Linked DNA regions of Oryza sativa Japonica Group. The protein of the gene in region 1 interacts with the protein of each later gene in a pairwise test. Links are inferred from orthologs where the notes say so. Each region holds a gene or a part of one and is shown on either strand. Other genes may lie near its edges. The genes, in order: cBL-interacting protein kinase 24, nucleoside diphosphate kinase 1 and sodium/hydrogen exchanger 8.

Region 1 (10,924 bases):
TCGTCGAAAGCTGATTTTGATTTTGAATTTTAGAATTTGATTTCAAACTGATACCAAGGGTTTTCTTCCTCACTTTGGTTGCTATATCTTTTTTCCAAGAAAGTCAAAAGGGCAAGTAAAGGAGATGCGAAATATACCTAAGATTATTCTTACGAATCAAATTAAAAAAAATCAAAATTAACTTCAGATTATAATCAATAGATCAAAGGCTTAAAAGTTGTGGTAGGCAGGTTTCCCTTTTCTTTTCCATTTCTGCCCTGGAAATACATATAGGATTATATCACAAGATTAATTGCTCTCATCCTTGAGAACGGCTAAGTGAAGAAGATCCGACATACACGAGAGCATTTCGACGTTCACAAGTCATTCCAGTTTCATGGCAGCAAAATAACCAGCTTATTTACTACTACTACACAAGAAACCTATCTATATCCATGTTACATACAGACTGCACAATTGGCCGCTATATGGACTATCTACAGTTCTATATTAACAATACTACCAAAACATCTGGTGCATGAAACTAGAATGGTACACTGATCTACTGAAGAACTGACTCAGCTATGTGGTACATGCAGCGCCTGCAAGAGCAACTTCGGTGGACGGGCTAGGAGTTGACAACCTGAAAACCTGAAAATCCCACTGATGCAGGAGTTGCAGCTGCGTTAGCGCCAGGCTAGCATGTGGCTGTCCTCAGCAGTGCGGATTTCGCTGAAACTTCAATCGGTCTCCAGATTATGCTTTCCATCTTGTTGCACAAGTTCTTGTAGAACTGCAATGAGTGTAAATCTGAGTTAGCAATCGTTCCGGATGGACGAAAAGTTGGATGTTGCACCTTCGAATGAGCATTTTGACACATTGTGTGAAAGTTATCAGTGTCAGTCAGGCAGTGTCAGTCATTTTTTTAGATTTATGAACTAGTCTAGGCAATCATGCTACTATATTCGATTAGGATACAAGACGATATGTGGAAAGACAGACCCTGTGGTATTCCAGTGTGTCACCAGCAACCTTTCGAACATCAACCATGAACAGAGAAGGAGCAACTTCGAAAACCTGCGAATGATGCATTTCAAAGCATAAGACAGCATGAAAAATGTAGTTTGTGAATGACAAACAGCAAAATGTTGTTCCCCAACAAAGGGCAATGTAAGACTACCTGTAGAACAACAGCAAACGGGCTCATTCTGTTTGAAGATACACCTTCAAGACGCAACTGCAGAAAAGAGTTAGCAATAAGTATCATTACATCAAGAGTAAGAAATGAGTTGCTTGTTGAAGAAAATGTTTTGTAATTACCTTGTAATTCTGAGAGTGGACCTTAAGACCCATAGTCTCAGCAACAACTTCAATTGTAGCTACTATAGTCTTTGCTGGTTTCCTTGAGACAAAACGAGTTTGACGTTTGACAAACTCCTACAAATATAAAACCCATCATTATTGCAACATGAGCACTCCATGTGATGAAAGTTGCATCAGACAACATAAGTTATTCATGAGGACTGCAGTTAATGCATAAAGCAAACACCAAAGTTATTCATGACGTGTGGCACACTATGACGTATGGTCCACGTAAAATAAAAAAATACATACTAAACATGTCTAGGAAGATCTAATGTAAGAGCACAAACATTGAAAAGTGGGTTCTTCTTTCTGCTATACGAGAACATTGCAACTAGAATGAATATATGGTTGGTGTGGTCAAATACTTCACAAACTAAACAGGTGCAATTTAAACCATGGAGATTAGCTAAGAAGCAAGCAATCAGATGTTTTTTTCTCCTTTTATGCAGGGTTTCCATTTCCATTCAAATTTGGCAAAAAACAGAAGCCGTCTGCCACCAACCAGTACACTAAGCGATAAGAAAAGAGAATAGACAATGGGATCGATCTACAGTCGGTTAATCCATATACAGTGGCTAGAATATAGTTCCACATAATACTAACGCCAATTGAAATGGATGTTCGTTTAAGTCATTTATTATAAACAAGATAGAAACCCCTGAGCGACCAACCGTCACTAAACCCAGTGCCTCACAGCCTTGTAAGTAAATGAAATAAGCTGACATGCCAGATCTCCGTACACTATAAACCCATCAGCGTTTCAAATTTCATTGCGCTAATGGTTCTCCAACAGCAAAATGGTCAACCATACCAAGAGTGTTACCAACTAAAAGGAAGAGTGGAACTATGAAATTACCTGCTGTCTATCAAATAATGCTGAAAGATCCAAACCTTGAGATAATGTAATCATCTCGAAGGCATTCATCACAAGAGGGCCACCATCATTATGAGTCACTTGCTCAGAAACGTACTTGTCCTGAAGCCAGAAAAGTTGTATAAATATAACTATAGAAGCAAATAGGTGACAGACAATTGGCAATATACCAATGGCATACACAAACCTCAATATTGTCAAAAACAGCCTGTACATCATCCAGATCAACATTTTCATCTTCACCACGTTTAATGGCTACATAAGTCTTCTTAAACCATGTGTCTTCCCTTATCTGTTCAATAGTGATACGCTGCAAAATAGTGAAAAAGGCCTAAGAAACTGGAGACGGCAATTTGCAAAAGCAAACACTCTATGCTGGTTGAAGATCTATGCGTTAGACTTATTAGATTTGATTCTAGCAAGATTCTGTCACTGGTCATGTATAGTTGTATACAGTATTTCTGTAACATATATGGCAGCACTGATATGAAGAAATTAGTCTTTGTTTTCTGCATTCTCTCACATAATTTCTGCAGCCATGCAGACTGAGACTGAAGTATTAAATTGGTGACAAGAGTACTTTGGAAGCTTGAGGTAAACTTTACTATAAAGGATGATTTGTTTCTTGAAGATGCAATGAAACAACCTAGTGTGTGTACTTACAGTTTTTGGATTTGGGTCGAGTATTCTGTGGATAAGCGATGTAGCACCTGGAGAGAACCAATAAGGGCATGAAAACTGACCTGCAGTAATCTTTTAATGTAGGAGTAAACATATCAGGTTTCAATCTCATCTGAGTAGAACGATTATGTAGGTGTTCACATCAACAATTTAGGGAAAGAAAGACTTATGCTGCACACATTAGTAATGAAGCCAATACCTTATCATACAGTGTTGGAAGATCATCTTCCTCAAAAGGAAGGTATCCAGCCATCAAAACATAGAGAATAACACCACATGACCAAACATCTGCTGCAGATCCATCATAACCATTGTTGCTAAGCACCTAAAACATTGACACATGGTAAAGCGCATATCATATATGTACTAAAAAAATGCCCCTAATCTTGTCTAAGGAAATGGCTTGAAATGCCCATATCACAATTTTATGAACTAGTTCAGACAATTAAAATCACAATAGCTTGAACATGGTGAAATAAGACAGCTAGAGATATTTATTTAGTGATGATGGCAGAAATATGCATAAAAATGAGGTTTAGAACCCTGAAGAGAACTAACCAACCAAATAACTGCGAGACAGGTAGAGAAACAAAGAAATAGGTAATCTCTTTCTAGTCTAACAGACATTTGTATCATACATACAAATATGATCTATAAAGAAAATCTAGGAAAATTGAATTGCATCCCGAGTAACTCGTCTAATTTTGCAGACATATTTCTTGCATGTAGTGTAGCTAATCAATTAGCTCCTTGCCAAAAAAAAAACATTTCGTACAGTTCAATTTACCATGCATTGAGAGATAGAGAGAGAGAGAGCATCATACCTCAGGAGCAACATAATTTGGTGTTCCACAAGTTGTGTGAAGAAGGCCTACTCCCTGAAATCCCTCAAAAAAGAAATCCCAATCAGAACACTTCTAGGATAGAAATACAGCATCATTAAAAGCAATTACTGAGCTTACTTTCTGGGCCAAAGTGCTAAGTCCAAAATCAGAAACTTTCAAGTTTCCACGTGAGTCAAGAAGCAGGTTTTCAGGCTACATAACATGCCCAAAAAAAGGGTAAGCATGAGATATTGCACCTAGTGAATAGGACAAATGATAGCCAAGTGTCTCTTATCAGTAACGGACCTTCAAATCTCTATGATATACTCCTTTGCTATGGCAATAATTGATGGCATCAATAAGCTGCTGGAAGTACTTCCTTGCTTCATTTTCACGAAGCTTCCCTTGGCGAGCCTACAGATATTTGATCGCATAGGTTCATATTTTAAGAAAATGCACAATAATAAAAAAATGTTCCTTTCTTTATATTGCCTATTGGGATTATATAATGGGCCTATAATTTACTGAACAGAAAGTTTCTGGTATATATGGGTGATAAAAAGAATTTACATATGGAGACACTGCCAGATTGGCACAATTCTTATATTTTTTTAGTTCAAGTAGAACAGCAGCTCATCGTTATTTCGGTAGTGTATATAATAGACTCCTTACTATTTTATCGAACAATTCGCCTCCAGTGATAAGCTCCAAGATTATGTATATCTTCGTCTTTCCAGCTAGAACCTACAAAATCATAGTAATGGTAACAAAGTAGTGACACAGGAAGTTAAGATAGCCAACATAGGAGTTTTGTTAATAATGAAAAGTTATATAGGACAGATGGCAAGTAAATATTTAGCATACCTCGTTTAGTCTAACTATATTGGGGTGTCTTACAATCTTCATTATTGATATCTCCCTTTTGATCTGTCAAGTAACATGAGAAGTGAGTTCGTAATCTAATGCCGAATTAGAATGGTTTAGTCCTTTTTTTTGTTATCATGATTAGCGATATTGCATAAACAACACAAAGAAAGTACATCTCGCATAAACTGGAAATCTGAAATGGGTGCTCACAGCAAAATCAGGTAAAACTGGTGGTCATCATTGATTTGCAGAACAGTTAAACTAAACAAACCAAATTTATACACATGAAATTGCAAACACAATTGGGGAGAAACTAAGCTTCATGGCAAAGCAGTAGGCTTAGGATTGTAGAACAGTTATATTAAACAAACCAAATATATACTTGCAATTGCAAACACAATTGGAGAGAAACCAAGCTTCATGGCATAGCAGTAGGCTTAGGATTATAGAACAGTTATATTAAACAAACCAAATATATACTTGCAATTGCAAACACAATTGGAGAGAAACCAAGTTCCATAGCAACTAGCAAATCAGGAAGCTTAGGAAAAGATTTACACCACTATAATTAGAGAACTTGAGCACTTTGCAACAAGATGCATCCTCAAAAGATGTCGTTGGATAACCATATGAACCAACTATTTGTAGCATTTCTGCAAACACCGCAAATCGAATTAAGCTACAACAGACCAAATTTTGGTAAAATCACTTTCAACACCCAACCATTTCAATTCTGCAACTGAGCTTCTGTCAGCCCAAACGAGATGAAACACCAAACAAACCGCTCGAATTAAGTTTTTCTTTCTTTTCTTTTTTTTTTTTAAAAAAAAGGTATTTTCCCCTTTGGGAGAACAAGAAATTTAAGGCTCTCCAGTTAATTCCTTATTCTTAATCATCAAACGGCAAGAGCTGCGCGCAACTCGCACGAATTAACCAGTGGTGCGCATTGCTGTCGAGGTATATTCGGAAATTCTCCATCCGCCCTCGTCGATGCGCGGCTGCTCACCATTTGGCAAACAGCAAAGCAGCAGCGGAGAGCACCCAAATAAAAAAAAGTGTAAAAAGAATCGCCCGGATCAAAGCAAAGGGGGGAGTGCGAGGAGTTTGATTTGGACTCGTGCACTGGCGGGGGCGGATGTGGAGGGTAGCGGGAAAGGAGAAGCGGGGGAATTACCTGGTGGAGCATGCGGTGGTTGAGGATGGTGTCCTTGTCGAGCACCTTCATGGCGACGGCGGCGCCGGTGTCGGCGTCCACGGCGAACTTGACCTTGGCGAACGTCCCCTGCCCGATGGTCCGCCCAACCTCGTACCTCCCCACCCGCTTCTTCCTCCCCGCCGCCATTCCCTCCTCCCCTCCCATCCGCCGCGCGGCCACGAATCCAACTCGGGGGGAAGAGGAGGAAGACGACGACGCCGCCGCGCGCGAGCTCGGCTTTGGGGGGGCTTCGCTGCCTGAATACCGACCATCTGGTTGACTGCTTGCCTATTTATGGGCTTCCACCCCCTCCGTTCTATAATACTCCCTCCGATTTTATTTTAATTAATATTTTGATAATCACACGATCTAAAAAACATATATTTGACCTTATTTTTCTATTATAATATATGTAATAAATAAATGAATGTTTAGTGTTTTGAAAGACAAATCTATATATGTTATTCTTGTTCTTTTAAACTAAATACTTTTATATATGTTGTTCTTGTTTTTTAAACTAAATACTTTTAAAGTTATGGATAGTCAAAGTTATAAAAGTTTGACTTCAATCTTATCTAAAACATCAATTATTATAGAACCAGAGGGAGTAATCGACATTTAACATAATAAATGGTTTCGATATATGGTTTTGATTAGCATATATTAAGATTTGAGATTACGATACCCCTCATTAAATGGTGTATAGGTAAGAATAGAAGGACAATTAAGGGTAAAATAGAAATAAATTTAAATGAGAAGTGATTATGAGACAATTAGTACTCTATTATGATAATTATTTTGTGACACATGTAAATCTTAGAAATACAATTATTATGGGACGGAGATAGTACAGAATAAAACGTCATATCATAAAATTAAGATTATTTTTTTCACAAAACATTTAATGCGGAGTATCATAGAATTATGTGCTATTACAAAACTACAGATTTCAAAGTTGAAACTCTTAGCACTAATTTTATCTCCAAATTATAAAATGTTGTAGTTTTATAATAATTTTGTTACTAAATCTGCAATTTTGTTATAATTTATTTTTTTGAGAAGCGTAGTATAAATCCAGGTGCCCATAACGCACACACACTCACGTCTATAAACACATACACACATACCCTACCTCTATAAGCATCTTCGGAGGACTGGACCAGTATATCTTGAGATTGATGAAGTCCATAGACATCTTGCTGTCGATGAGTACATCACTTACCACTAAAAAAATAATTAGCTGTAAATACGAGCACCCATGTTAAGTCTAAAACTTAAACCCGGATAGACTGGTTTCACCACAAGGGAATTTTGTTATACTTTATTTTAATTCTATTGTTTTGCGAAATTTGTTATTAAATATGTAGGTTTGTAGTTTTATAAAATTTACTCATGGTTTATAATAAATTTTACAGTATACTTTTAAAATTTAAAATCTACAAATTTAAAATTTAAAATATATGTAGTTTTATAAAATTTACTCATGGTTTTTAATAAATTTTAGTGAACTCCATTTAAACTATCAGAAACTATAGATTGAAAATGATATATCGCAAAATTATATATTTAACATTAAATTTATCATAAAACTATATATTTAATACCGTATCATAAAAATACATAAAACTATATATTTAATACCGTATCGTAAAATACATATTTAATAGTGATGTTATTAAAAAAACAACTACGAATTTTTAGCTTGTGGCTTTGGGCTATGGCTTCACTGCTGCGCGCAGCGCGCTGCTAAATGCCTGACTGCTTGCCTATTTAAGGCTTCCACCTGCGTTCTCTAATAATTGGCACGGTTAATTCTAGCTTTTTCCTTTTGCCATAAATTGGTTTTAGATGATTATATTATGGTGAAGAAATTTGTATGCCTATAATTACTGCGCTTAAAAAAAGATACAAGTTTAAACTAATGCGGAAGAAGTATTCTATTTATTTACTTTTGCATGACCTGAAAAAGAAGGGGACAGAAAAAGATTTTGCTCATGTTTGAGAGGTCGCTTTTTAATTCTTTTGTGTTGTTATTGTGGTGTTGATGCCTCCTATTGTCCTCTCGCTTTTTAACTTGATGGTGATTAGCTCGATCGGTTGATGATGATTGATGCGATAAAAGTTTGTGATCTCTCCGAATGAGTAGAAAGCATGATCGGTACTTCAGTAATGGCTGTGATGACAGTAAGCGTCAATTGTTTTCTTTCCTTTTTCTTTTCGATTTCGATTACGACTCAACATGTATACACACTCACAAACTGCAAGTGCGTCGTCTTAACACGTTGATCGCCATGTCGAGATTAGCGATATCTCTGAGTTACGAATTTATTGATATGCTAAAACCATACTTATATTTGTATATATATAACCCGATGAATAAAGTCATACCCCTACAATTCCATGCCATATCAAGGATGCTTCTCGCCGTATTCTGAAATTTGAAACATTTTAGAATAAATAGAAATAATTGTAGGGGTCATAACCATCGACAGTGCACAAACAAAGTGAACCAGAAATGGTTCGTGAAAAACTGGTGTGAACCATATCACTAGTTCAAATTGTCTTCTTAATTTGTGATATGAGAAAATTTTACAAAACTTTAAAGTGGTGTATCACAAAACTATAGATTTAACAAAAAAAAAATTATCATAGAACTACAACTTTAAGATAAAGTTTCACAAAACAGTAGATTAAGTAGCAAATTTATCCCAATACTATAGTTTCAGTCCCAATTTAATTACAAAACTACAATGTCCAACAGAACGACAGTGCTAGTGATTGAAACTTTACAATATGAAGTTTTGTGATAACTTTAATACCCCCTCCGTATTTTAATAAATGACATTGTTGACTTTTAAACACATGTTGGATTATTCGTCTTATTCAAAAATTTATGCAAATGTATAAGATATATAAATCATGCTTAAAGTACTTTGAGTGATAAAACAACTCACAATAAAATAAATTATAATTATGTAATTTTTTTAATAAGACGAATGGTAAAACGTGTGACAAACAGTCAACGGCGTCATCTATTAAAAAACAGAGATAGTATTAAATATGTAGTTTTGTGAAACTCTACCTTAAATTTGTAGTTCCATGATAAATTTGTTGTTAAATATGTAGTTTTGTGATACAACACTTCAAATCTGTAGTTTTGTTAAATATGTAGTTTTTTAATGTGATATTGAACCTTCAGCATCATATGATTGTGTTTCTCATATGTCTATATTTTTTTTACTATTGCCACCACCTGGAATTGTCTTCACGGCTTCCTTACTTACTTGTTTCGAAGATTATATTTTTATGGCTTGAGAAAGATAACTACAACATACAACTTGTAAGATGTTGGTACAAACAATAGTTATGCATCCTCTGATCAACCTTAGATGGAGATTTTTGTTTTTAAGGTTGTGCTTCTCAGTAGTTTTCTTGTTTTTAACCAAACTATAATTTTGTAATTCATAATTATTCATTCTACAAACACTGTAATAATTCTCTAGGGATAGTTTTTTTTTCTGCATTCCACAATTCATCTAGATATGCTTTGTGCTTCTCTAGGCCGTTAGATTTTTTTAACATTGGTAGAGATTCATCAAAGTGCAATTTGAAGGCCGCTTTGAAGTGGAGGATTCTTAATCCTATAAAATAATTCCTATGAGAGCCTTTGAAACAAAGGATTAAATCCTATCACTTTCTTTGAAATTTATATGAAATGGACAATTATATGGTGATTTCAGAGAAACAAGGCCAAGAGGTCCTAGTTCATGTTTTCAATCTTTTGTCTCTTGCAATCCTATGTTTCTTATGTGTTCCAATCAAACACCAATATTTAGATGGTGTTTGAATCTCATGAAGATGAAGATGAAGATAATGATTAAGTATTTCACGTAAAACAAGGTGGTAATAACGCGTGATTAATTGTGTTTTAATTATTACAAACTTGAAAAATGGATTAATCTGATATTTTAGAACAACTTTCATATAGAAAGTTTTTGTACGAAACGTATTGTTTAGCAGTTTGAAAAATGTGTCACATAAATCTTCTTTTTCATCCAACTCATGAGTTGGAGAAACGAACGGGACCTTAAAGTACTTTCATATGGTTTATCTTCCTGTAGGAATTTAAAATCTATGTCACTTGGTTCCTATGTTTTTTTTTCCTATTTCTATGTTTTAAAGGGAGCTCTAATTAAATACTATTTGTTTCACCCAAAAAAGAGTATATGTGAATGTTTGATATTAATCTCGATATTAAAAAGTGATTGGTAAATAAAAAAACATGACTATTCAAAGACTATATGGCCCTGAATATATTCCGATAAAATTAATATCAGAAAAGGAAGACAAAATTAAAGAAATACCATTCAGTTGTACTGTTCCTACTGGCTAAAGTTATGGACGAGTTGTAGACTCTTTAGGCTCCCCATTTCACAAATGCATCTTAAAGCTCATTAAATTTGTTTGTAGAGTTGCTTTTGACGTCTTAAGAGTCAAGGTGATGAAAATGGATGCGGCTCCTGCAGTACTGCATGTGCTCACTGACATATGGGCCTTACAGACCCTCAGCCCCACATTCAGCCCCACATTGAGTCTGCAATACTGAGGATCTGGATTGGACGAAAATCGCTTGCTGTTAAATTAGTATCAGAAGTCTTATCCATAAAAAATAGCATATATATGACACTCTAATATAAACATTCACTATGTCTATTTATTTTGCCAAAGGGCAAATGCAAATGTGAGGCTAAACCATGACTAATTTTCACCTTAGTGGTAAAAAGCCAAGATGGAAAAAATCCCTCAGGGGCAAAATGAAAAATGTTGGTACAAAATAATTCTGCATTTTTGTTTGTTTCCATGTGTGTTCCCACATATACTCGTGTAATTAAAAAATATTATCAAATATTACCTCCACTTGTCATAGATATATGACATTGGGAATACTTACTAGAGGGATATTCCGGTCTTTGTGAGGTGTTGTGTGTTGGGTTGGTGTTTATTCTTGATCTTTTTTCGGACACGGTGATTTATCCTTTCTGATCATGTTGATGTTGCTCTATCTTCACTATCAATGAAATACTGCAAAGTTCTTCTCTTTTTTTTTAAAAAAAACAATGATTAGATGGAGTAATTATT
Region 2 (10,924 bases), on another chromosome or scaffold:
CCTATTAACTTGCGAGCTGATGCAACAACACCATTCCCCTCCCAAGCCTTACAGAACAGAACAACAATAAATTTAATTGAAAACAGTTTACTGATCAAAGTGCAGAGTTACAAATATGTTTGGTTCTTTACAAATATATATACCATGCAAACAACAGGGCCAGAAGTTATGTACTCGATCAGACCGGGAAAGAAAGGTTTTTCCTTCAAATCCTTGTAGTGCTCCTGTGCACATAAGAGAGAATTAGCAGCTCGTTGATTAAACATAATATACTCCTGGTGATTCCCTTCCTATGTGAAAACAAAGATAATACTGTATGCTCTGACGGTGAGCAGAAACCAGGTTTAACCACAAATTTCGATGGCATTTCTACAAAATTTTCTCCAGCTGCTTGGATATTTAATGGATCACTTTTCGTTGGCTGAATACAAGAAAAAGTGACTCGAAAGAACTATCTCAGCAGTCAGCAAAGAATGAGTACTTTGGATGATCAAGGCTGTCCTGAAATAACATACCAGACAGACATGCTATTTATCATTTATTCGATTGTGAAATTTCCATTCACAACAATAAAACTGTGATCTCCTCAAATAAGTCCATTCAAGTCTTGGCAAATTGCCCACTACCAAGAAAATAAACTGGGCATGATATTTTGTCATGCCACGCAACCATGGTATATTTTGAAATGGCACCATTGCTCTCCAACGATGATTAAATGGTGAGTCCCCAGATGGTGGAAGAAAACACTTTACTTTTGAAGAAAACGGTGGATATTAAGAGGCAAACCTGTGCCAAGTCCTTGGGGCACTGAAAAAGCTTTAAGCCCTTCAACACAAAGCCTTTCTTCTCGAAACGGGAAATAATCTCGCCAACCTATATGAACGAATCGACAGGAGTGTTTATCTGAGCTGAAAGAAACTATAATGGAACTACAGTATTCAGTAATGGAATATATTACGTCAAAAAAAAGTAATGGAATCTAAAGTTAGAAAAGTAAGTAAAATGATATACCAGGCCTCGCTGAACACCATCAGGCTTGATCATAATATAGGATTGCTCAACCTACAGAAAAAATAGATTTAATCTTATGGTTGATCAGGAAGAGATCACCTAAGTGGAGAGTTCTCAACTTCTAACTGAAATAACAGAATATTGAGGTAATCAGAAATGTCTGACATCTATTATATAATAAAAGTCCATTAAACTTCCTACAAATGCTCCCAAACTGCCACGTGTACCCTACAAACGCTCCCAAGCTGCCACTTGGCACTATGATAAATTATAGAAATTCTTAAAATTCTAAAAAAAAAGACAACACCCAACCGTTGATTTTCATTTAATCTGGTGGACCCGATATTTTTAACCATTAGATCAATCTATAAAGAAAAAATAATCCTCCAATCCCTATCAGTATTGTACCTACGTGGAGTCGTAGTAGGTATACGTACGTACTTGGACCCGTATGCCTCCTCTCTTCCTCCTCTGTTCCCTCTCTTATTTCTTATTCCTATTCTTATGCAATATTAGGTAGAAAGCACAATAGGTGAGCACAATTGACAATTAAACAAATATAACATCTAAACTGCTTATATTTAATCTTTCAAAAAGAATGTCATGTTTTGGTTACAATTTCTGACTTTTACGTGCCATTTAAATAATTCCAAAATATTATGAAAAAATAACGATATAGATTTTATCATCAAACATAATTACACAATAATTAAATTAGAAAATAAATTACTCCCCGGTAAGTCAAAATAATATAATTATACGTGTCTTATATTATATTATATACTATAAACGCTTATAAATTGCCACATGACTCTTTAATAAATTAGAAAAATTCCTACAAATTCTAAGAAAAAAAGAAAAATATCTTTAGCATTGATTTTCATTTAAAATGTTAGACCAATTAATTTTAACCATTAGATCTATATAAAATAATATAATGGTGTGGACCATGCGTACATCGATCTAATGTAAAGGATATGAGAATGGTTATAGCTTCGTTCGTACACTTACGGAAGAAGAAAACATTATATAGTAGTCTAAAAAATCGAGATTCATTTTTCTTTCTGAAACTTAAAAAAATACTAAAAGTCCATTATACTTCCAATAAACATTATCAAGCCACCACATGCATATTCTACAAATGCTCCTAAATCATCACTTTACGCTATAATAAATTAGGTAAAATCCTATAAATTCTAAAAAAAAGAAAAATATCTTACCATCGGTTTTCATTCAAATCGGTGGACCTATTAATTTTAACCATTAGATATATATAAATTAATGGTGTGGGCCATATACATTGATCTAACGCAAAGGAAAAGAGATCGGTTATAGCTTCGTTCGTACATATAGAGTACAAGACATTGGATAGTAGTCTAAAAAATTGAGATTCATTTTTTTTTCTTGAACTGAAAAAAATTAAGACTTTGATCGGTCACAATTTTGCCCCCATCGACATTACTCAGGACACTGTCAGCGTGAGGGGGCAAATTAGCTTGGGACTACATGTATGTATCATGCATGACCGAGCTAAAAGCTTTATCTACCAATTATTTTAGAAACTTAAAAGTTAAAAACTATTTAGTATTTAAACTACCATGGTTGTATAAATGGCTAATTCTTTCAAACAACAAAGATAAAATAGGATAAGCATTGTAGGCTTCATATTTAGGATTATGCAATATAAACATAATCACTAAAGGCCTAATGCATGTTAGCTAAGATAAAATCACAAAGTGATTGTTTGCATTATGTAAAATCCTAATGTTTAATCATAAATTTTAGAGTAAAAATATTTAAATCATGACAACAATCATACCACACTACATAATAATCACACATGCGGAGTTATTTTTCGCAATGAAAATTATGTTCCTGCTAAGCTACATGGAGTCTCACACACTCTACACGAAACAATAAACTATCTCCTACGCTGCAAAATCAATTTAGACTCGAGAAGGCTTTTTATTTGAAATATATATTGTGTCACGTGGACCGAAGGCATCCATTAATAAACAATGAGACAATCAAGTATACAGAGAAAAAAAAGCAAGTGCATCTCAGCAAAGGATACAGTAAGTTGTAAAATATGTAGCCAATTTGCTACATACCAAAAGGAACACCAAAAGTAACTATCAAGTTCGTTGATTGTTGGCAAACAATGATATCGGCACAAAGATTTATATATACCATTATTTTCATAACCAATCAATGTGAAATGACAACTTTAAGCCACTTTTCTAACGTTTTTAATTGAATATACAATTATGTTCATCACATTCTAAACAAATGATTTCCGCGAGAATATTGTTCTCATGTTCCTCAAATGTGCAGCCTCCTATGTGATGAGCCTTTTGCCTCGGACTCATGGGCTACCTTTAGAAATAACTTTTGTAATGTGTTTACATATAACTACTTTAGTGGAGTACTTAACCCAGAAGGTAGAGTTGAAGCTTTTACACAGTGAACTATTTTAGTGGAGCACTTAACCCGCAAAAGTAGTATTGAATCAATCTATTCCATTGGTTACAGAGGAAAAAAAAGTTCATTTTACATCCTAACGATATTTTATTCTTTTAAACTTTTTTTCTTCTCTACATACAAGTCATATTTCACTTTGACACATCAGGAGATGAAGGTCAATGATAATTAAACGAATACACTAAATTCCACGACCTGCATGTAAATGCCTCTAAGGTGTCAATACAAAATCAATAAGCATTTCGTATAACGATATGATTAGAAATTTCCTACTAATTTTTATTTTAAGACTCATATTAACTTGGTATTTTTCTTAAAAATACTGTAGGATCCTACGCATAAGAATCACTATCTTACATATGTATATTTGGTCAATTTAAAAAGGTGATAGCAGGTTAGTAAAAAATATATATTTATGAGCAATTAAAGTTTCTCAAGATTTTTAAAGAAAAAATACAATGAACATTCAATTAAGAAGGGAAACACCTCACTTTAATTTAAACTTATTTTGTTAGACATGTTTTCGAAACGAAATAAAAACATGCCCGCGCAAATGCGCGGGCTACCTTCCTAGTTTCATAAATAGACAGATCCACACTTATTCTGTGAAAATAGAAGCGACGAACTCAGGTTCCATACTTAAGCTAAGTCAAACAGCATCCGTAATACCTCTCAGATATAGGCATATATCGTGCCATGAAAAGAATAAGTGGACATAAAAAATGAAACAGTTCTACAAGTTCTGCTGATCTGCATCTTTGATTTCAGGGATTAAATGCGTAAGATTAATAAAACCAACATTGATGCACTAACACGTTACTGAGATTAGCAAACAGAAAATGGCTTTATGCTTGAGGGGAATAATGAAAAACTACAAGAATAAATTTGGCATCCCTTCAACATAACTCAATTTTCTCAACTATGCATAAACAGATTTAGATTGTTCTACAGTACCCCTTCACTGTGTATTTAAGACATTGCAAGTTGCAACAACTGTCATGCTGCATCGCAAAATGAGATTGCCTAAGGAAACTTGGACCTGTTCAAGTACTGGAATTTGAAACACGTTGTTGAATAATTCAAACAATCTCACAGTAGAACCACAGAGATCATTGCATTTATTAACAAAAAGAGTAAAAAAAATGAAGACCAAATTTTGGAATTCTGATGGGCACAAAAATTCTACATAATGACATATATAGCAAACATCTTCAATTGTACTGCACGAACTAGGCAGCAAATTAGATGGTTATCAGAGCATCCAAAATAATTGCCATGACCATTTCCATATGCGCATCACGGTACAAAAGCAACTCCTACTTGGCAATCAACACAATGTAGCATGCCTAAGTGCCATATTTTCATCAGTACTGTCTGCCGCTGACAGCAGCAAGGCAAAATTCTTACTTTCAGTTCAAGTTCGCTTCCTTTTTTTCCAATAACTTATGTCAATAACCATAGAATATTCCAGAAACGGGTACTAAAATTTTAGACTGACTCTTCTCAACAAAAAAGGAAATTCAGACTGGCCAAAGCAACGTATGAATATGTGGGACATTTCAGTGAATTATCTGTTCAGTTTTTGCAATCAATAGGGAGCCAAAAAAACGATTATCTTCATCTGTGCTCAGCTAGTAGCATGTCTTTTTCTTCCCCAATCTATCAAAAAAAATACGACTCGGGCCAATACAACAGTAGAGTAAAAGTCTGAAACCAACATCACAACCAAACCAAATTGCCCCTCTCAACCCACAAAAAAGGAACTAATCTTTTCCTGCAATTTGGACCAAACGCGAGTAGGTAAAAACAAGGGGATTAATTCGAGAGGTGACCAACCGACGACGCGACGATGCGGCCGGCGGCGGAGACGCGCCCCCTGGCCGCCCTCCCGCCCCACGCGGCGCTCAGCGCGACGCGGCCGCGGGACCCCGGGGAGGCGGCGGCGGCGAAGGAGACGGCCGCCGGGCGCCGGGACACCGCGGGGGAGGTCGCGGCGAGGAGGGTCGGGGCGGGGCGGGAGGTCCTCGCGAGCACGGCCATGGCGTCCATCCCGGTAGCTGCTTCTCCTCCAACGTCCGCGCGAGCGAGCGAGCGACCAAAGCAGCCGCCTTTTTTTGGATTAGGGAGAGCGGAGAAGAAGAAGATGATGAGCAGGAGCAGAGCAGAGCAGCGGCCATCTTGTCACATTTTTCAAGATTTGTTTATTCTCGAGTTGTGAAGTGCCGAAAATACCCCTGCCTCTCATTTTCCTCCTGCATGGGGGTGAAAAAATGGACCTGATTTGTCCTCATTTCGAGTCGCTATATACCTCGTTCGTTTATGAAAATTATATTAGGAGTAGTCTTTTTAAGGTTAGCTGAACATAAAATTAATAATTTCTATGCAATGTCGAAGAGTCCTCGTTTAGTGGGATTGTTCATATTGTTACAACCTCTAGCATATGGTCAATGATTTGTTGTCATAAGTTTGCTCGATTGAATTTAGTACTAAGATGTTTGAATTTTTTCAATAAAAGTACTTTTTCGAGATAAATCTATTTATATTGTTTTATGTTTTCAAACTAAAAGTTATCCCGATTATTGATAGGCCAAGCAATAAAAAATAACCAGATTTATCATAGAGCACAAATATTTGTGATCACAGGGTGTACGCACCCTTGTTTCAAACAGAAATGAATGTATACGTGCTTCATACACCACTATCGACTCCTTGATTGATCTCGCCTCTACCATGTACAACATGTTATTAGTCGTTTTAGATTGTTTTTCCTAGTCCCGTTTCTCTCTGGTTGAAATCAATAAGGTTAATATGGTATGAGTTTTTGATATAGCCGTGTTCTATATGGTTTTATTCATCGGGAGATACCATTCTTCTATAAATTAAGGTAAGATGTACACCGCTCTTCTACACTATGCTGGTCCTCGAATCATCGCTAAACGGTGATGCTTACCTTCTTGGCATGGTACATGTATATACATGTGATGTGATGCTTATTTTACAAGTATATGCATTGATACTTGGAGCGAAGAATAACATACTTTTCTTCAATGTTCACTTCATTAGAAGAGAAAAAAGATGCCTCTCCATCCAAATGCCCAATAAACCATAGCTGCACAATGATTGACTTTCCTTACACCCCTTATGGTTGCATACTTAATCAACAATTGCCATCCAAAAAAGTGTGATTCCACAAAGAAAAATTGTGAGCATCTATCATAAATGTATATCTACTTCATCCTAGTATCATATATGTACGGCAAGTATAATAACCTTAGTTTACATGCAAACGTTATCACTCAAGCCATATCAACCTACATCCTACATGAATGAGAAAGAAGTAATCATATGTTCGTTGAGTGTGAGCGCATAGCCACCAAGTACTAGCTGTTGTGCATGAGCTAGTCCAAAGTAAAAGAGAAAGATTTGAGACTCGGTAAAAGATAAAATAATTTTTAAAGAAAGCATTGAGAAATATTGTTGTATATGTATATGGCTTTCAAATTTAGGTGATTATTCTTTAGAGCCAACAAAAGGTCATCTTATTGGCTGTTGCCAATTTGAAAGTGAGTTTAGCTTTTGCAACTCGTTCGTTTACTATGAGTATGTTTCCTAAATTATTAGACGGTGTATTTTTAAAATAAATTTTTATATAAAAGCTTATTTTAAAAAAAATCAAACAAATCTAGCTTATCGATTTAATACTTAATTAATAATATGTTAAATGTTTTTATTTCACGTGCAGAAAAAAGCTAAGTCAAATTGTTGCCACTGCTTCCTCCACACTGCCCACTTGTCCAGTGGTTGCCGAGGTGCTTATTCCTACACCTAATTTATGGAGGTCAATAACAAAATTATTATTGTAATATACTTTTTTTTATATAGTACTAGCTCATTTCACCCGTTGTTATGTAAACTCTTTAGCCCATATTGTATATGTGGCATCTGACGACCGTCCAGTATAAAAAGCATGAGGCCTACTGGCCTACTTACCGTAAAAAGTCAAATGATACACTTTGTATTCAAAACACATGTTACCGGTGTACACATGCATAGACCAAACGGAACACCTCATTTTAGTAAACCTAGTCTGACGCTTTCTATACAGCAACGCGGTACCTCAAGGTTTACGCCTTCAGGCGGATCACGCACGGTGGAGACGGACGAGCGCGAGAAAGGAACAAACCGAACAAGTGGACCCACCCACCCGTGGGCCCATCCACTTCGTCCACCACACCGCATCGCACAAACCACACAACACCGGTTCCGACCAATCACATCCGTCCACGTACCCCCCAAACATCCCCCGGCCCCACACACCGAATCCCCCCGCACAGCGCGTAAGCCGCCACCGACGCGCTGGCACTCCCACGTTCAAGCCCTCCTCACCACCCTCACACCTCACAGACAGGTGGGACCAACAAAAACCAGACCCACCTGTCAGTGACGCGGTTCGGACGAATCCCCCGTAGCCGTAACACGATCTCCAACTTTCCTCGTGGGCTCCACGTGGCAGTGGGGAAAGCACGGGTCCCGATGATATCGCCCACACACCACCTCTCTCTCTTCTCTCTCTCCCCATCTCTCTCTCTCCTCCTCGACTCACCGTCTCTCTCTCTCCCCTCCCGTCTCCGGCGATCTCTCCGGCGGCGTCTCCGGCGACCGGGCCACCGCCGCCGCCGCCAAGGAGCGCTCCCCCTCATTCCCCAGATCGGTAGCTGTCTCGTCGCCGTCCCCGATCCTCCTCCTCTTCCTTTCCCCCAGATCCACACCCCCCCCCTCGCGTACTCGCTCTTAGCCTCCGCGGCGGGAGGTGGTGGTGGTGTGGGCGGGGGGTGAGCTCGTGAGTCAGATCCGGTGATCTGTGCGCTGTTGCGGTTGCCATGGACGACTTCCAGGGCCTCCTGGCCCGCGACTTTGGGCTGCGCCCGCAGGGGAAGGCGGCGCCCATGTCGGCCGCCCGCGCCGCCGCGTCCTCCGGATCCGCCTGGTCCAACTCCAGATCCGCATCGGCGTCCTCCGCCGCCGCCGCCACCGCCCCGCCCGCGCCCTTGTACGATGACCTCTTCGGGGCCGCGGCGCCCTCCGCCCCGCCGCCCAAGGCCGCGCCCTCGCCCTCCCTCGACGCCATCTTTGACTCCTTCAAGGAGCCCTCCGCCCCGGATGCCCCACCCAAGCCGAAGCACTCGTCCATGCCGGTGTTTGACAAGCCGGTCTACGATGACGACATCTTCGATGGGGTTCCCGGGGTGAAGAGCAGCTCCTCGGCGCGGTTTGACGATGTATTCGGTGGCAGCCACGCGCCGCCGCCACCTGCGTACGATGATCTGCTTGGGGGATTTGGGAGCAAGCCGGAGGTGAAGGAGGTGCTGCCGGAGGAGAAGAGGAAGCCTGAGCCGGCCGCTTCATCGGCTGGGTTTGATGATTTGATCCCAGGGTTTGGCGGGAGGATCCCGATGCGTGCCAGGTGAGCACACCTTTTTGCATGGGAATTTCGGGCATTATGTTGTCTACATGTGCAATCTAGGAGTAAATTTAGTAGTAGTTTGGATCAAGCGGAAGCTTTGTCGGTATGAGCCAACTCGGCAACGAGAGAACCATGTGATAATTCAGTTGAGTTGGACAAATTATGGACTCCCATATCTAATTTATGTTGCATTTGCTTAGATTTTAGCTTGTTAATGTGCACGTGCGATTGTTTGAATTGGTAACTTATACCAGTTGAGGTAGGAAATTCATTGATGGCTTATATCTTCAAATCTATTTGGTAATTGAATTTATAGGCTATTTTCCATTAGGTATGATCTGTGTTGACCATTGAATATCAATGGCATCTTGTGGATAAACTTATGGGCATCTTGTGAATTTTATGGGCTCTACTTCGATTTTACTATTAGAAACGCCTAGGAACATATGCTATGCTTTTTATAAGCATTCCCTACTTTCCTAAAGATACCAGTGCACTTTCTCAGGCAAACTTGCTTTGGCCTCTATATTGCGTTATGTGGATAATACAGTGTATGCTAGGTTTATTATGGTTTATTTAAATTGCACATAGTTCATAGAGAATGTTCAGCATGCATTAATGACCGGATGTGGTAGGTTCATAGGCTGCACAACTTTGATTGCAAATTACCTTAGGTTCAAATATAACGCTTTATAGTGATGGAATATGTAGTGAGTTATGCAAGAAGAATATCTACGAGGTTCTGAAATTGCTTTGTTTAAAGAATGATTTGGATCTTTTTAATCTAAAATATGTCAATCATATACAGATTTGTTACCATAAATTCCCTCATCCTTTTTTTTTTTGAATCATAGGGAGACTGTTGGAACTAAAGATAAGAATGTGTCCATGTCAACGTCTAAGCCAGCTAGCATGGCAAGTGACCCATTTGATGTTCTTGGTACAACTTCAACCTCAAAGCATACATCTTCAGGGATATTCACGGATCCCTTGGATGAACTGGGCAGGCCTGCAAAATCTCAAGGGAAAAAACATGATAATACTGCTGTTGACAGTGGCCTATTCGAGGACTCAAGCACTTTTAATCAGGTCCCAAAATCAGAACCTCTGTTTACCTCAGAGTTGAATGATGACTTGAAAGATAGGAATGGCTCCACCAAAGATCGAGATTCAAGTCCTGTGCAAAATTTTTCCAGAAAAAATACAACCCAAAAACCTTCTGTGGAGAACTTCGAAAATATCTTTCCTAAGTCACAGTCTGCTCGATATTCTGATGTTCATGTTGACATTGGTGCCTCTGGTTCAGAGAAATACAGTGGGAATGGTATGGATGACCAGTCTCCAAGATCTGATGAGTCCGAAGATGAGATCTGGCTTACAGTTTCTGAGATTCCCCTCTTCACACAGCCAACTAGTGCCCCACCACCTTCAAGAACACCACCACCTCTTGCTGTTAAGCAAAAACCACATGGATCACAAGCAAAAAGAAAAGATGACAATTATCCACGCCGGTCTAACCAAAACCACAATCATCACAGAAGCTCGTCAAATCAAGCTGGTTCTTCTTCAATAGATGAACTGGAAGATTTTGCCATGGGCAAGTCTCAAAGTTCTGCCTATGACAATGCAAATCCTTTTAATGAGGAAGAATTTGAGCATAGTTCATCAGCAGCAGCATCTGCAGCTGCTATGAAGGAAGCAATGGATAAAGCTGAGGCAAAGTTCAAGCATGCGAAGGTTGTACGGGAAAGGGAACGCGATGCAAAACATAGAAATAGAGAACAGCAGGAACAAGATGATGAAGCAAGGTTCAACACCCAGGATCATGAAGAGAGAGATAGGCAGGAAAGACTAGAACGGGAGAGAGAGATGAGACAAAGGGAGGAAAAGGAGAGAGAGCAAAGAAGACTTGAAGAGGAGAGGGAACTTGAGAAACAGAGAGAAAGAGAGAGGGCTGCTAGGCAAGCT
Region 3 (10,824 bases), on another chromosome or scaffold:
ATCATTTGTCTTCTTCCCATATTTTTGCAACTACTGACTGCATGTATATTTTTCTGTGAGCATTTGCACATATAACATTAACATATCAGTACCCCTGATTATTGTTAGCTTGTTTGATCACCTGTGCAAGTATCCATCATGGACTGGTTTTTCTGATACCTTCTGCAATAGGAATTCGTCTGTGTTTTGGATAAAATTATGCCAATTAATAATAAGTGTTTATTTCCCTCTATTTTCTTGGAGTCTTCTCATTTACTAATGTGGTTATATCAGGCACAAGATGCACTGGAGGTCTCTGGTGTTTTGACCGTCATGACACTGGGAATGTTAGTAAAACATTTGTTGGCGACCTATTCTGTGTATCCCTTAAATACCATCAAATATTGACACGTCATATGTCCAGGTTCTATGCCGCTTTTGCAAAAACTGCTTTTAAGGGTGACAGTCAGCAAAGCTTGCATCATTTCTGGTATGTCAATCAATATGTGTCACTTTAACAAATATTAAATTATCAAGTCATGATCAATCTTAACATTCCATCAGTTCTGTAAAGCTGTTTGATGTTCATGCTTCCTACATTTACATTAAATTCTTGTGCTCTTGTAGAGCTACTATGCTGCATTGTTGATTTTGTTGGATTCAGTAGCCAGTCATTTCACTTGCATGCCATTATTGTTTTTCTCAGTGGTGGATCTATAAATGTTTTAGAGCCTGGGCAAGTAAAAATAGATGATGATAAAATAACATAAAATAAAATTCATTCAACTCTATATACCATTTACACAAGCAAGAGTGCAAGTTCTGAATTAGGAGAGGAAAACCAGTAGAAGGGATTATCAATGAATGATTGTATACTTGTACATTGTTGATAGACTAGACATATATACAGAGTAGTGACATGTGCTACCCATAATTCCTTTATAGCTGTTCTGTTTCCTTTTGCTAGTTGTGTATTTTGGTTGGCTAATCTAGGAGGCTAATGAGTAACTAAATACAAAATTTAACGCTGCATGCGGTGGCGGAGCCCGGCAACTGCTCAGGGTTGCTGGGCCTTGGCTCCGCTGCTGTTTTTTCTGGTTGCACCAAAACAATGTTAGTAAGAAATCTGCAGCAAAATGAGATGTAAATCCAATTTATAAGTGGAAGACCAACAAGAAAGCAGATTAGAAAATCCCTCGAGTGGCATGCAACTTAATTCACTGCTCTAAGACCAAATTACACCCCATTATGCAGTCCATTACTCATTTGGCCATAAGATACAACCCAGGATATGTCCTAGTGGCTAATGGATATGTTGCGGTCCTGAACTTTTCTTTTCTTTTCCTTTTGTTTCCTCTTTTTTAGCCCTGTGCTGAACTTCTATGAAACTCCTGTAAAAATCGTCTGCGTTTTCATTAATTAAAGCGGGGGAGATGCTCTCCCTTTCTCCAAAAAAAAAAAGATACAACCCATGTGTGTCCCACCATTAGCATCATCACAGATCAACTCATCTTACCAAGATCCTGAAGTTAATACAAAGGATTGGAGCGAAAAATCATAAGATCATTAGGGCTAGAGCAAAGAGGATGAATAAATAGCACAAAGTAAGGTTAGTTTACTCGTTCCAGAGCAGTTTCCATACAAAGAACGCCGGTCAGGGACATACATCAAGGGATATCTCCTGTTTTGCCCCTTTTGATTTATCCATCACTAAGGAAAATTTGGGCTCAAGGCTGACCCTTTGATGTAGTCTTTTTGAAGGTAGTTTGATGTGGTCCTATCTTGATGGGCAATGCCCTGAAGTTTCTCATTTAGCAGGTTTGTTTTGTAGACAGTAACTAACCAAAATTTAAGAAAAGCAAAAACATAGTGCACTGATATTCCTGTCATTAACTGACAAATAATATGGTTATTATTGAGGTACCAAATGTACCTTGTAATCTATTCAGGTAGGAAAGCTATTTCTTTTTTTATTACTTTTCCGAGGCATTCTGATGTAAGCTTCATGTCTATATTTAATTATACTTTTCTTGTATTCAGGGAAATGGTTGCTTATATAGCAAACACACTTATATTTATACTGAGGTATTGTCAAGCTCTTCTACCCTTGCTCTTGAAACATTCTCTGATCTTTCTTTCTTCTTTCTGGCTGAAACCAAACTGCTTGCTTTTATTTGTTGTAATCCTATGATTTATATATAGATACAGTTATAATGTTTCTTACACGTGAATTCCCCACAGTGGGGTTGTTATTGCAGATGGAGTACTAGAAAATAATGTCCATTTCGAGAGGCACGGTATTTATCTCCATGTACCTTTTGAAATTTACCTTTTATGTTTCCAATAAAGAAACCACAAAAGCCTAGTTCAAGTCTGTGGTCAGATGACCAGAGCCTTCCACGACTATTGATAAATGCAGGATAACCAGGAGAATGGCTAGAATGCGCTGCTTCCTTTTAGAGGAGGGAGAGACCGCAGACTTGAAAGATACCTTGCAATTGCTGACATGGACATTCTGGAATAGAACATTGTTTCTGAATTTCTTATTTATGCTTGCATTTTTTTAATTACTGTTTCAGGTGCTTCATGGGGCTTCCTTCTTCTGCTCTATGTATTTGTGCAAATTTCTCGGATATTAGTTGTTGTTATTTTGTATCCATTGTTGCGCCACTTTGGGTATGGTTTGGACTTGAAAGAAGCCACAATTCTTGTTTGGGCGGGACTGCGAGGGGCTGTTGCTCTGTCTCTATCATTATCTGTTAAGGTAAGTTATTATCCTTGTACCAGCCAACCTTTTATTGTTTCATTGTATTTACATTATTATACTATAAATATTTCTGAATCTTCTACCCTTTTTTTACTAGCGTGCTAGTGATGCAGTTCAGACCCATCTGAAACCAGTTGACGGAACAATGGTATGCTGTTTTTTTTATGGAGAAGTTTGAAATGTTTGATTTTACCTTTACTAATGCTACATATTTGCAGTTTGTGTTCTTCACTGGTGGCATCGTGTTTTTGACATTGATTTTTAATGGTTCTACTACACAATTTTTGTTGCATCTACTTGGAATGGACAGATTAGCAGCAACAAAGGTTAGCTTCATGAATTGTTACCTATGATTATTTTTTTCCTGTTGGGATAATTTTTTTGCTTGTCCATAGATTTCTCTGCTTTATAAACTTTCTGATTTCTAGTTGGTACCAATCTGCCATCTCCTTTGTATTAATTAGTGAGTTGGCAAATTTAAGGTTTTACGTGAGATATATTTTAGTCTAGTACCTTTAAGTCCAACACTTTTTAAATATTTAGGGTTCTCAGTTTTGCATTTGTACATAACTATGATCATGTTGCCTATAACGTTGAAAGACATTTTTTTTATCTGGAATGATTGATTTTTCATTATCCTTGACAAGAACTGTAATGACCATCAGCACCAAAGAATCAAAGGTTCTACCTGTGAACATCCTCTCCAAACAAGCATTCTGTTCAACTCTTTTGATTAGCAATTGTAGCCAGTGGCGAACCTAGAACAAAAATTACCGGGTGTTCTATACATACTAATGATCTAACCATTGACTAATTTATTAAGATGGCATAAAACAGCTAGAGATGAACAATCTATCCGGGGTCATGTGCACCCAGGAACATGCATGTAGGTATGCCCCTGATTGTAGCTTCTCCCTGCTTTTCTTGGCAGTTTCTGATCTTTTAGAACTTGTAAATGCTTTTCTAATATTTCTCATTTTATATAATATTTTCCTGTGGAGAACTCCCTTACTTTTCTCCTAGAAAAGATGGTTGAACTATGCATAAATTCAAAAGTTAGTCGCAGATCCTTTCTTACTGATTACGGTTGTTTGTAAAGCCTCTTCCATCACCTGCTCCAAAGTCCAAGCTGGATAGGTTTTCTTTGGTGTTGTCATGTTGATTTTTAGGTTGTATATCTCTTATTCCTATATAGTTAGTACCCACTAAGTCATAATTGCTATAAAGCTTGCACCACAGCTCGCCACGTCATCGGCGCATATTAACTGTTAGATCTTGATCGGATGGCCTTCAAACATCGCATGTATCCAGTCTGCTATTGGCAAAAAAAAAAAAGGAACGAACCTCTCCCTTGACGTCTCCGCCCAGTGGGCTGTTGGCCCAGCAAGCAACAGAAGAAATTTTTTCCGTTCTTTCTTAGCAGCCAACGGACGAAAGCGGCCCACTTGATAAACACATACTCCACATTATTTTGTCGGAAAAAAAACACGCAACCAATGAGTAAAAAAAGGAAACACACGAAGATTGATCAACAATATTTCTCAGTAAGAATTCTCAAATCCCGCTGCAACGCGCGGGGGTATCCACTAGTGATATAGTAAGTTATTCCCTTCACACTCCAGGTAAAGATTCTAACATTATTGTTATTGCAGCTTCGCATATTGAATTATACAAAATATGAAATGCTAAACAAGGCATTGGAGGCTTTTGGTGATCTTAGGGATGATGAGGAACTTGGTCCTCCTGCTGATTGGGTTACTGTAAAGAAATATATCACATGCTTGAACGACTTGGACGATGAGCCTGTGCATCCTCATGCTGTTTCTGACAGAAATGATCGCATGCATACCATGAACTTAAGGGACATCCGTGTGCGGCTTCTAAATGGTATGTTATCACCTTACATTATAATGTGCTGATGGTGGAATTTGATACAAATATTTCCTGGAGATCGAAATAGAACACATATTAATACACTCCTTTGTTATATTCTTGTCTCCTGTTATCATTTAGCTATTTCAAGTTGGGCTTTAAGTTTGATGTCATGTTTTATGTTCAATATCCCTTTTAGTTACTTTGCTTAGTTGCTCTCTAATTTTTCCCAGTAACATGCTATATGGAAAGCTTAGGTATGTTTACTAAGGATGCATCGTTTACTTTTTACATTGCCTGCTGGTTATTAATCTGTTTGGTGATATACTTGAACCTTGGGCGCTTCCTTTGGTTTAGTGATACGTTTGGTACTTGGCTTTCAATAAGATATATCATCTCTTTTTCTGATGAAACTTTATCAAATTGATGGATTAGAGTTTCTTTGACTTATTTGCTTCCTATCTTTTCATTTTTTACACCCATTTTGTTGCATTCAGTTTTTTATTCCCACATAGTTCAATTAATATTTCTCTCACTGTTCTATATTCTCTAGATAAGCTGCTTAGATTACGGAGTTCTATGCTGAATGAATAAAAACAGGTGTCCAAGCTGCTTACTGGGGAATGCTTGAAGAAGGACGAATAACTCAAACCACTGCAAATATTTTAATGAGATCGGTTGATGAAGCTATGGATCTTGTTCCTACCCAAGAATTATGTGACTGGAAGGGTTTGCGGTCCAATGTCCATTTTCCAAATTACTATAGGTTCCTTCAAATGAGCAGGTTGCCACGAAGGCTTATCACTTACTTCACAGTAGAAAGACTGGAGTCAGGATGTTACATCTGTGCTGCATTTCTCCGTGCTCATAGAATCGCAAGACGGCAGCTACATGACTTTCTTGGTAAAAATTTCATGTTTGTTTGTGCATATTAGCTGCCATTTATTTGGAGGTCTAATTCCAGAAAGAGTAAAAGACAAATCCACCTGAATACATGATATGCATATGAGATATGAGATATATGTGGGTGGAACATATTCTTGGTGTACATTGCTTTAGTTTATAAATGCAATGAAGATGCAATATATATACTCTAGCAAGGGTTATGCTTCCTATAATTCTGTAGGGTTATGCTTCCTACAGAATTTAGTGTCAAACTGGCCAGGTCCTGATGTGTTGGTATAGCTTTTGTTTCTGAAAAACTGCTTTATAGAGTGAAATTTGGATGGCTTAAATGATCTCGCAAGGAGTAAGAATGAACCTGTCAAGTTTACTTTGTTTTGCAAGTTACTACTATGGAAGCCTGGTTGAAGGCATCTTTCTATTAATAATTTGGAATGCACCTTCATTAGTACAGATGACTTGCATGTCATGCTAGTGCTCTTTGAACCTGTTTCCATTCTTATGCACTTCTTTCTTCAGGTGATAGTGAGGTTGCCAGAATTGTTATTGATGAAAGTAATGCTGAGGGAGAGGAGGCTAGAAAATTCTTGGAAGATGTTCGTGTTACATTCCCTCAGGTTTGTGGTTACAGTTTGTTCCCATCATATGATTATTAATGGAGTTTACAGTCATCAGCATAAAATCTTCATACCCAATTCTACTAACAGTTTTCTTTTTCCAAAACATGGACATAATGGCACTATGTCCAGGTTATCATGCCATGTGTCATAAATTATACTTTATAAATTATGAAGTTGTTGTGCTGGGACCTGCCAGTCTAACTTCTTTCCTGAAATAGCTGGTGGAAGGAAAATATAGTACTTCTGTCATAAGCTGGTGAGCTGAACTGCAATGGGACTAGTTTTGGTTTTTACATGTACTTATATGACACCAAAATGCTGAGAAATGGTTTAAGTTTGGATTGGTGTATTTGATGTGGCATATCAATTGTACTGTCTATTGCAAAATTTATGTGAAGATCCTACTCTCCAAACAAACAAAAAATAGTACGTAGGATGTGGCATATCAATTGTACTGTCTATTGCAAAATTTATGTGAAAATCCTACTCTCCAAACAAACAAAAAATAGTACGTAGGAAGTTTCATTAAGAAGATGAAAGGCAACAAAATTCAAACTGTTATTAAAATATTTATTTATGGTTCAAAAGACGAAGTATTTACTTAGTGTTTCATATTTAAGGTGATCTTTATATTAACCAAGAGAAACACCACAACATAAATAAAATGTTCCACAATTTCAGGTGCTTCGTGTGCTGAAGACTCGACAAGTAACATATTCGGTATTGACCCACTTGAGTGAGTATATTCAAAATCTCCAGAAGACTGGGTTGCTGGAAGAAAAGGAAATGGCCCATCTAGATGATGCTTTGCAGGTGGCTGGAATATTTTGCTTGTCTTTTAATTATTACTATGCTGACTTTGTTGTTTCAGTTACAAATCACAATGGAAATACTAATTCTAGTCAATTCACTTGGCAGACAGACTTGAAGAAGTTCAAGAGGAATCCACCATTGGTAAAAATGCCAAGAGTCAGTGATCTTTTGAACACTCATCCGTTAGTTGGTGCACTGCCTGCTGCGATGCGTGATCCTTTATTAAGTAGCACAAAAGAAACAGTAAAAGGACATGGCACAATCCTTTATAGAGAGGGCTCAAGGCCAACTGGTATATGGCTTGTTTCGATTGGAGTAGTAAAGGTCTGTTTCTGCTTTAAGACTACCTTATCACATTAGAGTTGAGGCTTACTGTACTTTCCAGTTTGTTCCATGATGAGCATGTACATCTCTATCTCCTTTTTCCACAGTGGACAAGTCAGAGATTAAGCAGCAGGCATTCATTGGATCCAATTTTATCACATGGCAGCACTTTGGGCCTGTATGAGGTGCTGATTGGAAAACCTTATATCTGTGACATGATTACAGATTCTGTGGTGCACTGCTTCTTCATTGAAGCTGAAAAGATAGAGCAATTGCGTCAATCAGATCCTTCTATTGAGATTTTTCTGTGGCAGGTATCATAAGCTTAACCCAATAAATTATGTGGTTCTTTGGCTTCTTTATTTTATGGTTTTGGAAATCCGGATATCGTCGTAGAGCCAAACAACACTGCAGGGAAGATGTAGAACATACTGACCGGTACATCAACCAGTGTTCAGGAAAGTGGCCCTTTCTGTCGAACACTTAGGTACTGGTTTTTCTTTAAACCTGCAGTTTAGGTTCTAAAGAATACCCCAATCTGCCTTCCCGGTTTAAGCTGAAAGGCTATCTATGCTTCTCAAATATCACAGCATCTTAGGAAGAAAACATTTTAGCGTTGCAAGAGCTGGATGTCTGAAAACCTCTCAAGATCTTGGAATATACCAAAAAAAACTACACTGTTCTATTTTTCATATGCTTCCTGATTCCTTTTTAACGTATAAAAGTTCATGATTCTTTTAATCAGAAAGGTAGGACCTCTGCCAATTTAGTTACAGGATAGAGTTTAGAGATAGATAAAGTTACAAGGAGGAAAGGGCCTGCCAATAGGAAGAGCTGCTAGAGGCAAGGACTGCCAGAAAGTACCTGCACCATAACATTAATTGCCGAGGGCCCATGCATATTTGCCCAGTTCAACTTTGGGCCTGTTTAGTTCGCGAAAAGAAAATTTTTGGGTGTCACATCGGATGTTTGACCGAATGTCGGAAGGGCTTTTTGGACACGAATGAAAAAAATAATTTCATAACTCGTCTGGAAACCGCAAGATAAATCTTTTGAGACTAATTAATCCGTTATTAGCACATGTGGGTTACTGTAGCACTTGTGGCTAATCATGGACTAATTAGACTCAAAAGATTTGTCTCACGATTTCCCCCCTAACTGTGCAATTAGCTTTTTTTCATTTATCTATATTTAATGCTTCATGCATGTGTCTAAAGATTCGATGTAATGTTTTTGGAAAAAAATTTTGGGAAACTAAACGGGGCCTTTATTATCAAAGCACTTCACTTTTTTTTTCTTGGTTATTACAGTGAGGAGAAGATAACAAAATCAAACCGACATGTTCTCTTTTAACTAATTAATCTGTGGAACTTGCAAGCTTATATGTTCATATTAATATTCATGGAAATTTCAGGAAAGTGCTCTAGTCGTTGCCAGGCTTTTGCTCCCTATGATGTTTGAGAAAATGGCAACACATGAGCTCAGGGTTCTCATCACTGAAAGATCTACTATGAACATCTACATTAAGGGCGAAGAAATTGAACTTGAGCAGAATTTCATTGGCATCTTACTGGAAGGATTTTTGAAGACCAAGAACCAAACTTTGATCACACCTCCAGGGTTACTGCTACCACCAAATGCCGACTTGAACTTATTTGGTCTCGAGTCATCAGGTTATTAAGCTATCCTCAGACACTCAACATGAGATGCCTGTTCTTTTTCTTTTCCCTCAAAAACACAATGTTGTAGAGTGCTCTGAGTGAGTTCTCTGCCTCTTGCTGTTTTGTCGTCGGGATGACTCTTGCTGTTTTGTTTGCAGCTATAAACCGCATTGACTACTGTTATACAGCACCCAGCTATCAGGTGGAGGCTAGAGCAAGGATTTTGTTCGTTGAGATAGGGAGGCCCGAAATAGAGGCGGATCTGCAAAGGAGTGCGTCATTGATATCTCAAACCCTTGAACTGCCTCGGACACAAAGCAAGGAGCACAGCGGTTTGCTCAGCTGGCCGGAAAGCTTCAGAAAATCCAGGGGAGCTCAGAATGGTGCCAGCTTAACTGAAATCAGAGACCATCCAGCAAGCTTCTCTGCAAGAGCATTGCAGCTGAGCATGTACGGGAGCATGGTACGTAGAATAAGGAAAGCAAAATTATGGTTTTACATACAGTAGTATTTCTGATCAAAGTCAGCTGATGGATTTGGTTTGCAGATCAATGACATGAAGTCCGGTCAGGGTCAGGGTCAGAGGAGGCAGAGGCATCGTCACACGAAAGCAAGCTCTAATAAAGCGCACAGCTCGTCGTACCCAAGAGTGCCTTCGAGGTCGTCCAACACGCAGAGGCCCCTGCTGTCTGTGCAGTCCGAGGGTGCCAACATGACGACGGCAAGGCAGGCTGCTGCTGCTGGTGCTTCTCTGCCGCCGGAGCCGGAGGAGGCAGGACGGCGGCGGCGGCGACAACGCAAGGCAATAGAAGAGGACGAGGACAACTCGAGCGATGAGTCGGCCGGGGAAGAGGTGATTGTCAGAGTCGATTCTCCCAGCATGCTCACCTTCCGTCAGCCCTCCAGCGCTGCTGATCGATGATCAACGTCGCAACCCAAGTAATTGTTGGACCAGCCAATGGAAATACTCCTCTTATATTTAATACTAATATTTGCAATGCATTTGCTCATTTCATTCTGTTCTAGCGTATACATATGCATCTTATATTTGCATGCTTGGCTCGTGCGTTTACCTCTAGTACAGTAATAAAGAAGAATCCCTGTTCGTTCCGATGTTGAGCTACATGATTATTTATATAGATATATATTTTTGAGATGATGAGCTGCCTACTTGACTGATTAATTTTGTTTTGCATTTTGCTCATGACTCATGAGCCAATGACACAATAACACTGCAAATTTCATAATTGCTCACCGTAAATTTTATAGGTAACATAATTGTGAATTCCATAACTTGCACTGCATATTTCATAGGTGAGAGCCTGAATGCCTGATAGTGCATGGGTTGTACCCTTTTAACAGTTTAGCTATATGTTGGTTCGGTGTATCCCTATTCCTTTCCATTCGAGATGGCCACACCACAAAGCCACCCGATGGCTTTGAGGGATCACCGATTTTTTTTCCGCTACACTCTTTATGTATATCACTTTAAAAGTTATCAAAAAAAATTTAAAACAGTTTACCCATCAATATATGTTATATATTCTATAAATATACATGCTCAAATTCGACTTGCATACGGTGTTGTTTGTTGTTTGAGTTCAATGAATATAGAGATGTTTTGAGTTCAATGAATATAGAGATTAAGTACGGGCATGTGTAAAACAAGAAAGTCATTAGCGTATGGTTAATTAAGTTTTAGTTATTTCAAACTTGAAATTTTGGATTTATCTGACATTTAAAGCAATTTTTATATAGAAAGTTTTCTGCACAAAATGTTTTGTTTAGCAATTTGAAAAACGTGCTAACAAAAATTGAGATAAAATATGTATCTTAATCAGAAAAGAATGGAGCGTACTAGATTAAAAAAAACAAATATAACTAT

Evidence for each region.
Region 2: the proteins of cBL-interacting protein kinase 24 (region 1) and nucleoside diphosphate kinase 1 interact in binary tests that used the Arabidopsis thaliana proteins (3 or more experiments, as listed by UniProt). The link is inferred for Oryza sativa Japonica Group from reciprocal best matches to the Arabidopsis thaliana genes SOS2 and NDPK2.
Region 3: the proteins of cBL-interacting protein kinase 24 (region 1) and sodium/hydrogen exchanger 8 interact in binary tests that used the Arabidopsis thaliana proteins (3 or more experiments, as listed by UniProt). The link is inferred for Oryza sativa Japonica Group from reciprocal best matches to the Arabidopsis thaliana genes SOS2 and SOS1.

Annotation. Positions count from the first base shown.
Region 1 is NC_089040.1:24,900,701-24,911,624, forward strand, and holds cBL-interacting protein kinase 24, read right to left. Parts: upstream 6,052-10,924; 5' UTR 5,951-6,051; coding exon 5,765-5,950; intron 4,651-5,764; coding exon 4,588-4,650; intron 4,468-4,587; coding exon 4,396-4,467; intron 4,138-4,395; coding exon 4,030-4,137; intron 3,937-4,029; coding exon 3,862-3,936; intron 3,778-3,861; coding exon 3,724-3,777; intron 3,225-3,723; coding exon 3,099-3,224; intron 2,972-3,098; coding exon 2,882-2,971; intron 2,529-2,881; coding exon 2,406-2,528; intron 2,321-2,405; coding exon 2,201-2,320; intron 1,417-2,200; coding exon 1,300-1,416; intron 1,217-1,299; coding exon 1,160-1,216; intron 1,057-1,159; coding exon 982-1,056; intron 773-981; coding exon 677-772; 3' UTR 192-676; downstream 1-191. UniProt on the Arabidopsis thaliana protein: Involved in the regulatory pathway for the control of intracellular Na(+) and K(+) homeostasis and salt tolerance.
Region 2 is NC_089046.1:22,865,010-22,875,933, reverse strand, and holds the start of nucleoside diphosphate kinase 1, read right to left. Parts: upstream 5,614-10,924; 5' UTR 5,542-5,613; coding exon 5,329-5,541; intron 1,063-5,328; coding exon 1,012-1,062; intron 874-1,011; coding exon 787-873; intron 225-786; coding exon 144-224; intron 48-143; coding exon 1-47. Other genes in the region: auxilin-related protein 2, read left to right, coding at 8,373-8,956, 9,811-10,924. UniProt on the Arabidopsis thaliana protein: Major role in the synthesis of nucleoside triphosphates other than ATP. The ATP gamma phosphate is transferred to the NDP beta phosphate via a ping-pong mechanism, using a phosphorylated active-site intermediate. May activate MPK3 and MPK6.
Region 3 is NC_089046.1:28,213,419-28,224,242, reverse strand, and holds the end of sodium/hydrogen exchanger 8, read left to right. Parts: intron 1-273; coding exon 274-326; intron 327-403; coding exon 404-469; intron 470-2,019; coding exon 2,020-2,064; intron 2,065-2,220; coding exon 2,221-2,276; intron 2,277-2,558; coding exon 2,559-2,743; intron 2,744-2,843; coding exon 2,844-2,894; intron 2,895-2,964; coding exon 2,965-3,072; intron 3,073-4,398; coding exon 4,399-4,633; intron 4,634-5,218; coding exon 5,219-5,521; intron 5,522-6,040; coding exon 6,041-6,138; intron 6,139-6,822; coding exon 6,823-6,954; intron 6,955-7,059; coding exon 7,060-7,278; intron 7,279-7,385; coding exon 7,386-7,592; exon of another isoform or gene 7,593-7,765; intron 7,766-8,692; coding exon 8,693-8,951; intron 8,952-9,097; coding exon 9,098-9,402; intron 9,403-9,486; coding exon 9,487-9,861; 3' UTR 9,862-10,098; downstream 10,099-10,824. UniProt on the Arabidopsis thaliana protein: Acts in electroneutral exchange of protons for cations such as Na(+) or Li(+) across plasma membrane. Involved in Na(+) and K(+) homeostasis.